Linked DNA regions of Mytilus edulis. The protein of the gene in region 1 interacts with the protein of each later gene in a biochemical or structural test. Links are inferred from orthologs where the notes say so. Each region holds a gene or a part of one and is shown on either strand. Other genes may lie near its edges. The genes, in order: DNA polymerase zeta catalytic subunit-like and mitotic spindle assembly checkpoint protein MAD2A-like.

Region 1 (3,938 bases):
TTTATCAAGCAGTTGTAGCAGACAGAGTTATTAGTTAATTTTTAGCTCCCTTTGGTAAAACTCTAAATTTCATATTTGATGTATTTCATTGTTAATTAATTTACATGAAGCTTATTAAGGATATATTTGTTAAATTAAATAGCTTTTTCTATTTTAATTCATTGGTTAAAGATATTTATTTATATTATAAAGTTTAATATTTGCATCGTTGCAAATTCTTTGGTTACCTTCTGTAAGAAATTTATATATTTTATATAAAAAGTTTTAGATTCTTCATTTGAACTCTGGGATGATTGACATTTAGTTGAACCATGGACATTCCAACCAAGATTCATGAGGATAGTGCATTTGCTACATGCCTATAGTACGGGTTAATTTGAAGTGTTTAATGCTCCATTTCTACACGTTTGGCTTTACATAATAAAAGTTGTACTTTGTTGAATAAATTATATATTGTTTTCAGTTTTTGGTTTTCATTTACTTAGATATATTATAGCGCATCACTTTTGGCATCAGTCGTTTTCCGCACACATCAGTTTACAAACTAGAATTAGCTGTGGTCCGCATACCCGAATCTTAGGCAAAATTGTTCCTGCTACACAGTTAATGTACAATGTAATGAGTTTTACACACAAAAACGATGTTGTTTGGGGCTTTATCTGCGGGGACAACAACATATTTGTCGTGAAGGTGTTAAGTGTTTTGCAACATTAGGGTCTCTAAAGATTGACGTAGCATGGGCATTGATTGAACCATTCAGTTTCTTAATTCTGATTTGTATCAACGACCTCACTGCCTTAATCCATTCGGAAAGAGTGTCTACGTCTTCCTTCTCACGCTTATCCCATTGCCTGGCATAGTTCTCGACTGAATCCATCAAAATTTTAAAATTGTATTTCCAATTGATGGATTTCGACTCACGATATTTTGGACCTTTCGTTAACACATTTTGTAGGGAAGTGTTATTAACAATGTTAAAACATGCATAACACAGCTCACATTCTCATATATCTACATTCATAAATTTATAAATGTCATTTCGACTAAACGACGCCATGTAATTGTTTGTTTTGTGCCTCTCCCGTCTAAACCACCTATTTAAAAAGAAGAGGTGGAAATAGAACCAGAAGATCTTCCCAATGAAAAAAAAAACAAAAAAAGAATGTCTTCTGGTTCATTACTGAAGAACAAAAGAACACGCCCCTGTTAATTGTAAATGGGAACGTCTAAACACCGCTCAGGCCGACCTCCTGGGTGCACCCAGGACCCTGTATAGTCATCGTATCTGCACACAGGATGGATGTATATATATTCGTTATACGCTTCTTATTTTCGAGTTAATTTTTGGTAGAATTTGAAATCGAACTTAGATAGAAATAATGAGGACACATGTCACTGATTACACAACCATTGACAACTACTGATCACTACTGAGCCGGGTTTCATACCGAAGTCCGGGTCCGGAGTCCGGTCCGGTCCGGTCCGGGTTTCAGTACGTACCACAAGTTTTCACATTGACACGGATAGACACGAGATGGCGCTGCATATAACAATCACAATCAGCATTCGATGGTCAGTAATCTCATAAATTAAACAACACACAAATCATTTCCAGAAGCATGCATCATTTTTCATACTATTGTTTATTTATTTGAATAGAATGCAGACCGTCACACCAAGACATATGCACGGTACTGTTAATCCGTGACATATGTACTTATGCCTGCTTTGTGGATTTTTCAGAAAGCTTTGACACTGGTATCAAGTTTATAAATTTACCATCTGCGGGAGTAGGTACTTCATTATAAAAATAACACATAGCTGAGGGGGGTGATAGAGCTGATTGGTAGCCCGAGAGGTACCTCGAGAAAGCATTGTCAACCGTGGCAAAGCCAATGTTGACTGCTTTTTCGAAGGGTACCAAACTGCTCTATCACCACAGGAATCAGAAGTTCTATCAATAAAATTCTGTAAATAATAGGAGAAGCTCTATTTATAGTCGACTTTACAGAATTTAATTGATAGAACTACGAGAAGCTCTATTGATAGTCGATTTTATTATTTAAAGAATTTTATTGATAGAACTTCCGATTCCTGAATCCTGTGCTATCACACTCTCAGCTCTGTGTTTATTTACATGTAATTTATTATACTGAATGTCCTATCATTATTGTCTTTTACAGATGAACTTTTTAAAAGTATTTTCTATGACATGACACATAACAACTTACACGTATTAGAAGTGAAGCAAGATGTTTTATTTTTTTATTTTGACAGTCAAATGATGCAGCTTAACGCTATTCCCGGGTGACCCTAGAATCTGTCCTACTTGAAGTATTGACATCACAAAACAATAACTTTTCCATTGTGGCATCATTTGTTTTGTATTATGACGTCACATTTTTACGGGAACCTTTGAGATATCCAGTAATGGCTGAGAAATAGCAATAAGGTGTATAGAATCTGAGCCAAAACGTAGAAATTACTCATTGTCTTTAATAACTTGATGTAAATTCAATTCATTCTTCTTTAAAATGTAAATTTTTGATTGGTCTGGATGAGAGGGTGACATTAAAAAATATTGTCACCAGCTCAGTCATATACTTGATAGAGTAATTTAACACCCTCGTATTAGCCAATCAAAATATGGCATTAAAGTGAGGTATAATAATTTATAATTATTAAACACATGTATATTTTGTATCAATCAAGTAAATCTTGTGTTAAGAATTAATCCAGACAAGAGTTAAATGTAAACAAGGGGACAATTTAGTCTAATCTGTAATATTCAAGTAAATTATGTTCATTGGGATTGCCAACCTTGGAAAGAATATAGTAGGGATAGAAATGATATGATACAAGTGTTGCATGGTAACTGGATGATTTGAAGTCTGCGTTAAATGTTGACAATTGGAACCCGAATAAATGTTTATGTTAATGTCAACTGCACACACCTAAATAAGTTTTTTTTATAAGTATAATATATATAAATATATTATTATGAGACTATTATGCCATAAGAAATTGCATTACGACAATCCAAGAAGAGGGGTTAGTAGAAGCCATTGGCTTATTTAAGTAAACGGAGATCCCGAGATAAAGATATAATATATATAAAGTATAAATGACTTGCCAGAGTATTTACAAAAAAGTGGAGACCCTGTGAATTGCTTATTATACACAGACGATTTTGTCCTTAAGGTTCATGTAGGGTATAAACTTTTTTTTTTTTAACAAAGGATTTCTCTACTTTTTTCTAAAAATAAACTTAATCCTATACTTAATAGAAAAGTACAATAAAAATGTGGGGTTACGTTTAATCATGTAAGCCCACAATCTGCCTTCAAAAGAAGTATGCAGTTTTGTCAAGGTACTTTTTTTCTGTTGAACTAATTGGAGCAGAAAACATGGATAAGGTAAAAAAGATCTATATTACAAAAATTGCTAAAATTTTACAATTATAATTTAGTTTTAGTACAGCTTATATGAAGAAAAAAAAAAATAGGTCACCATTGAGTTGAGAAAGATTTTCAATATTAATGCAAAAAAAGGCATTATTTCACCAAAGGGAGATAATTTGGAGCTTTTTCAATGATATAAACATTTTAAAAATCATCTGGGGCCAAAATGAATTGATTTTTTTGGTTGATTTAAATGATTTTTGTACCATATCATAATATAAATTTACAACTAATACTGTAATAAGTTAAATTTGAAATAAAAAAAATATGTTTAAATTTTTGCTGAATTTTTGTACCCTGGAGCCTCTGTAAAAAGTAAAATCACAAAAGTGATCTTAGGAAAATTCTAAAAGGAAATTCAGTAATTAAATGGCAATATCAATAGCTCAAACACATAAAACGAATGGATAGCAACTGTCATATTCCTGACTTGGTAGACATTTATTACACAAAAAATAAAATATCTCTGTTCATTCA
Region 2 (3,938 bases), on another chromosome or scaffold:
TACTCTGGCTTTTTTTGTTTTTGTTTTGGTAATATGATTAATCAGACTAGACGTCGTGAACTTTGTCATTTCCCGTGTACTGTAGTATTTAATTTTTATGCGACCATTCTTTACTTATAAAGATATTTATCGCTGGAATTTACTGATTGTCAGAGTCATGTAATTCTCTATGGTGGAGTTGAACAGTGTGTCGAAAAAAAAACGTCGATTAGTCATTTTGAAATTCAAATTACAGTAACACATTGCTTAGGCTGTGGATGACAATCATGACACCTTCAAAGCGACACAGGATTGAGCAAGAACGTATTAACTTCTAATTCTATTTCACTATTCCACCAAACAATCTAGAGACATTTACACTCACATGAAAAAAAGTTCCAAGGCAATATTATTTACCTACGGAAACATGTTTAACCCAAAACGCCCCAGCCAATTTTAAAATACCATAGCTGAATAATGATCCCCAGTCAGTGTAAGCTCTAGATAGTCTATATTCAAAGTCTAAGGTACGAACCATTTGATTTGAGGAGACAGTCTAAGATATTTGTGTAGAAAAAAAATAACTCTGATTTTTGCCTTGAACAAAAATTCTGGCTGTATCTGGATTGACAACAATAATCATGTCCACTGTTTTTGCTAAAAAAAAATAAAAAATTTCCAACAGAATTATTTAGCATTAAATGAACATGATGAATAAAAACGGGCATTTCTTTGGGGGCAGGGGTTTGCATGTCTGAACGGAATGTCTGTTTCGCCGAACTGATATATTAAATACTTTTTTCAAGATCAGACTGCAACCTGCCTGATGGGTGTGGCCTTTATGTCTCCATTTGTCGACCGTCATTCATAAATTCGTTGTCATTTCAGACTCATTCTTAGCCTTTGGTTGATTTGGAACCCCTCACTTCCCTTAATTTTGTTGGGTGAAACATATTAACCAAACTTTGGATAAGAAATTGCTTGTTTGTCTTTTTTAACTTGTACCGGCCGTATTGTAAATTTCATTGAATACCCCGGCGTATATCTTGTTTACAACAAGAAATCTGTGAAGTTACACGCCAGTAACCGTTTGAAAAGTACTTATTACACTTATTTTATGTTTTTAGCCCCAAAAAGGTCCCAAAAATTTTTCGCCTCGCTCCGTTCGGCCATCTTTCAAAACTTCGGCCCCCTTTCCAAAATCCTGGATCCGCCCCTGAAAATCATAATCAAAAATCAAAAAAATCAAAAGCGAAGTAATAAAAAATTAACGTCAAGTTTTGTACTTTTAAAGTTTCATCACGGATTTGTAATGTTTGACTAAACTGTGACCGGCCTTCACTTCGCAGGTCTTTTCACCCGTTTTTTATTTTAAAATCATAATTAAAATTTAAAAAAATCAAACTTTAAAAAAGCGAAATAATAAAAACTATACGTCAAAAGAGGGTATCTGTGAAGTGGAGGGTTTAGTCAGGGACTTTCTATACTAGTATAGAAAGTCCCTGGTTTAGTCAAACATTTCAAAACCTACATGTACAACTTTTTGAGTACGGAAATTCGATCAAAACTGATCCCGTCACCGAGCAGAATTGTATACATAAATTTAGCGGGAAATAGAAATATACACAAATCATGGCCGCAACAGCTACACAAAATGCAATCACATTGAAAGGATCGACAGAAATAGTTTCCGAGTTCTTTTGTAAATGTTTCTTTTAATAACAACAATTTGCATTGTTTTTACACAATGTCTATCTTTGAACTTTCAGGAACTAATGTGTTTAACCCCAGCCCCTTTTTTTTTCAGAACGCATGCCAAGTTAAATTATTATTATTGAAGTATGACTGTATGAAGTTTAAATGCAATGCCATTGGGTAGTTCGATAATCATTTATCGTATAAAAATACACATGCACCCTCTATGAAGGTCATCACGTCAAAAACAAAAGGTCAGAATTCACACCACACAGTCACACTCACACAATTATTTTGAGTAAAAACAATTTCTGGTGGCGAAATTATTCAAACACTGTAGTCTAAATAATCATGATAATTATCCAAAATATTACAATGTCTTAAAAGGTTACACATCATAGTATGACATATGACAGCTCATTTGTTTGACGGCCCATTGTTCAGAAAAATGTTAAAAATGTACATATAGACTCGTCCACTGGAAAACCCATTCATGAGTTGTCATGCGTTTTAGTTTTTGGTATCCAAATAGGAGAATTTGTTTTATCCATTAAACAAGAAAATTCAAAATTGTGACTTACTTATCTTGACCTTTTCATCCACTGTGTATCATTGGTACGCGCGTGATCAATTTTGACCTGACACAGTAAGAAAAATCTTTTGTTTCGTTTACATAATATTAATGTGTACTTCAAATACTTGTCAGAGCAGTTGGGGTTAGTCTCGCCCGATTTGATTCTGTATTCATTGAAACTCTTTTTTTGATAGGAGGCCACTGTCATGTGCGTAATAAGTATACCTGTTTCAATAATTGGCATTGACATCTTTCTTACATATGTTATTTTAAATATTTTATTCAGATAAGAAGCGTGTATGGTGTAAAGCGGACCAAATAAATCCTTCTGTACAGTGGACAGTTTATCCCCGTACACAAAAACTTTATTTTCATGTGTTTTTGATAAAAATTGCTAACGTCAAAACTGCTGACAGAACTTGTTTTGAAATGATCAATTTTCAAATTAAAAAAAAATGACAATTATTATCATCCAGTGATTAAAAAGCACCATTATTGATTATTTGACGTGTGAAGAAATATACTATAATAGTGAATAGTCGTAATCCAATAGGTTACAGACAGTTGTAGACTTCAAATACAACCTTAAAAATTACGATAGTGCAAGTCCATCAAATTTGTTGCATCAATGCAACATTATTTTATCTGATAATGGGCAAATAATAACTCAAACTTTTTAAAGTTATTTTTTATTGTTAAATATTTCACAAACAAATCCCCCCAACATTCTGTAAAGGTTTCTGGAATTTTAATTATTTTATTACAACCCATTTAGATATGTAACAGACACTGGTGCACTTTTAAATGGAAGATGTTGATTGGAAAAAACACAAAATCATATTTCCACAAATATGCAATTTTTTCGTAAATCCACGAAAATTGATACTTTCGAAAATAAAAGAATGCACAGTACACTGAATGGATAAATTTGATCTATGACACAATGTAATAAAATTAATAAAATAAATAGTGGGGTGAGATGTGAAACAAAATCAGAAAGAAAACTTTAACCTTTGACTGTGACTCATGTTAAACAAAATGCTGTTAAAATAAAATAAAGTACATCAAGTTCATGTACACAGATACAAAAATAATTTTGTCATGTTTGTTGAAAGGAAAAGAAATAATTTTGTTCATTGTATTTTCTTTATTTGAATTCTGATTTGGATTACAATAGTCCTAGCCTTACATAATGTACATTAAACTTTTATGGCAACAAGGCATGTATTGGTAGATTTAATGTGTAGTCATTATACATGTATTCTTCATTGTAATGCTGCATTCACACATAATTTGAATTTGATTCGCATTAACTAATTCCCATTAGTTTGATACGCATTCAAATCGTTTTACGTCCAAATCTAAATTCGAATTGCAATGGGGGTCAAAATTCACTTTACTGCCTGAATGACGTTAACTTTTAATTCGTATTAACAAAAACGCATTTCTAATGCGAATTGGATAATGCGATTCAACCAATTCGAATCAATTGGAATTATAATTTAAAGGAGAATGTATGAACGCAGTTACGTATCAAATTCATTTGAATTAAATGAACATGTCAACGAGGCGTATACTTCTTATGTGACTCATTTTGAGGCAAATTTTGTATTAGGTTTATTGGGTTGTAGTAAAATGTAGAAAAGGTTTATTGGCCTGTAGTAAAATGTAGAAATTCTTACAGCCCCAA

Evidence for each region.
Region 2: the proteins of DNA polymerase zeta catalytic subunit-like (region 1) and mitotic spindle assembly checkpoint protein MAD2A-like form a complex in vitro, tested with the Homo sapiens proteins (2 studies listed by BioGRID). The link is inferred for Mytilus edulis from reciprocal best matches to the Homo sapiens genes REV3L and MAD2L1.

The regions. Positions count from the first base shown.
Region 1 is NC_092353.1:64,606,787-64,610,724, reverse strand, and holds the start of DNA polymerase zeta catalytic subunit-like, read left to right. Parts: upstream 1-1,465; 5' UTR 1,466-1,572; intron 1,573-3,938. UniProt on the Homo sapiens protein: Catalytic subunit of the DNA polymerase zeta complex, an error-prone polymerase specialized in translesion DNA synthesis (TLS). Lacks an intrinsic 3'-5' exonuclease activity and thus has no proofreading function.
Region 2 is NC_092352.1:71,759,010-71,762,947, reverse strand, and holds the start of mitotic spindle assembly checkpoint protein MAD2A-like, read left to right. Parts: upstream 1-1,562; 5' UTR 1,563-1,611; coding exon 1,612-1,681; intron 1,682-3,938. UniProt on the Homo sapiens protein: Component of the spindle-assembly checkpoint that prevents the onset of anaphase until all chromosomes are properly aligned at the metaphase plate.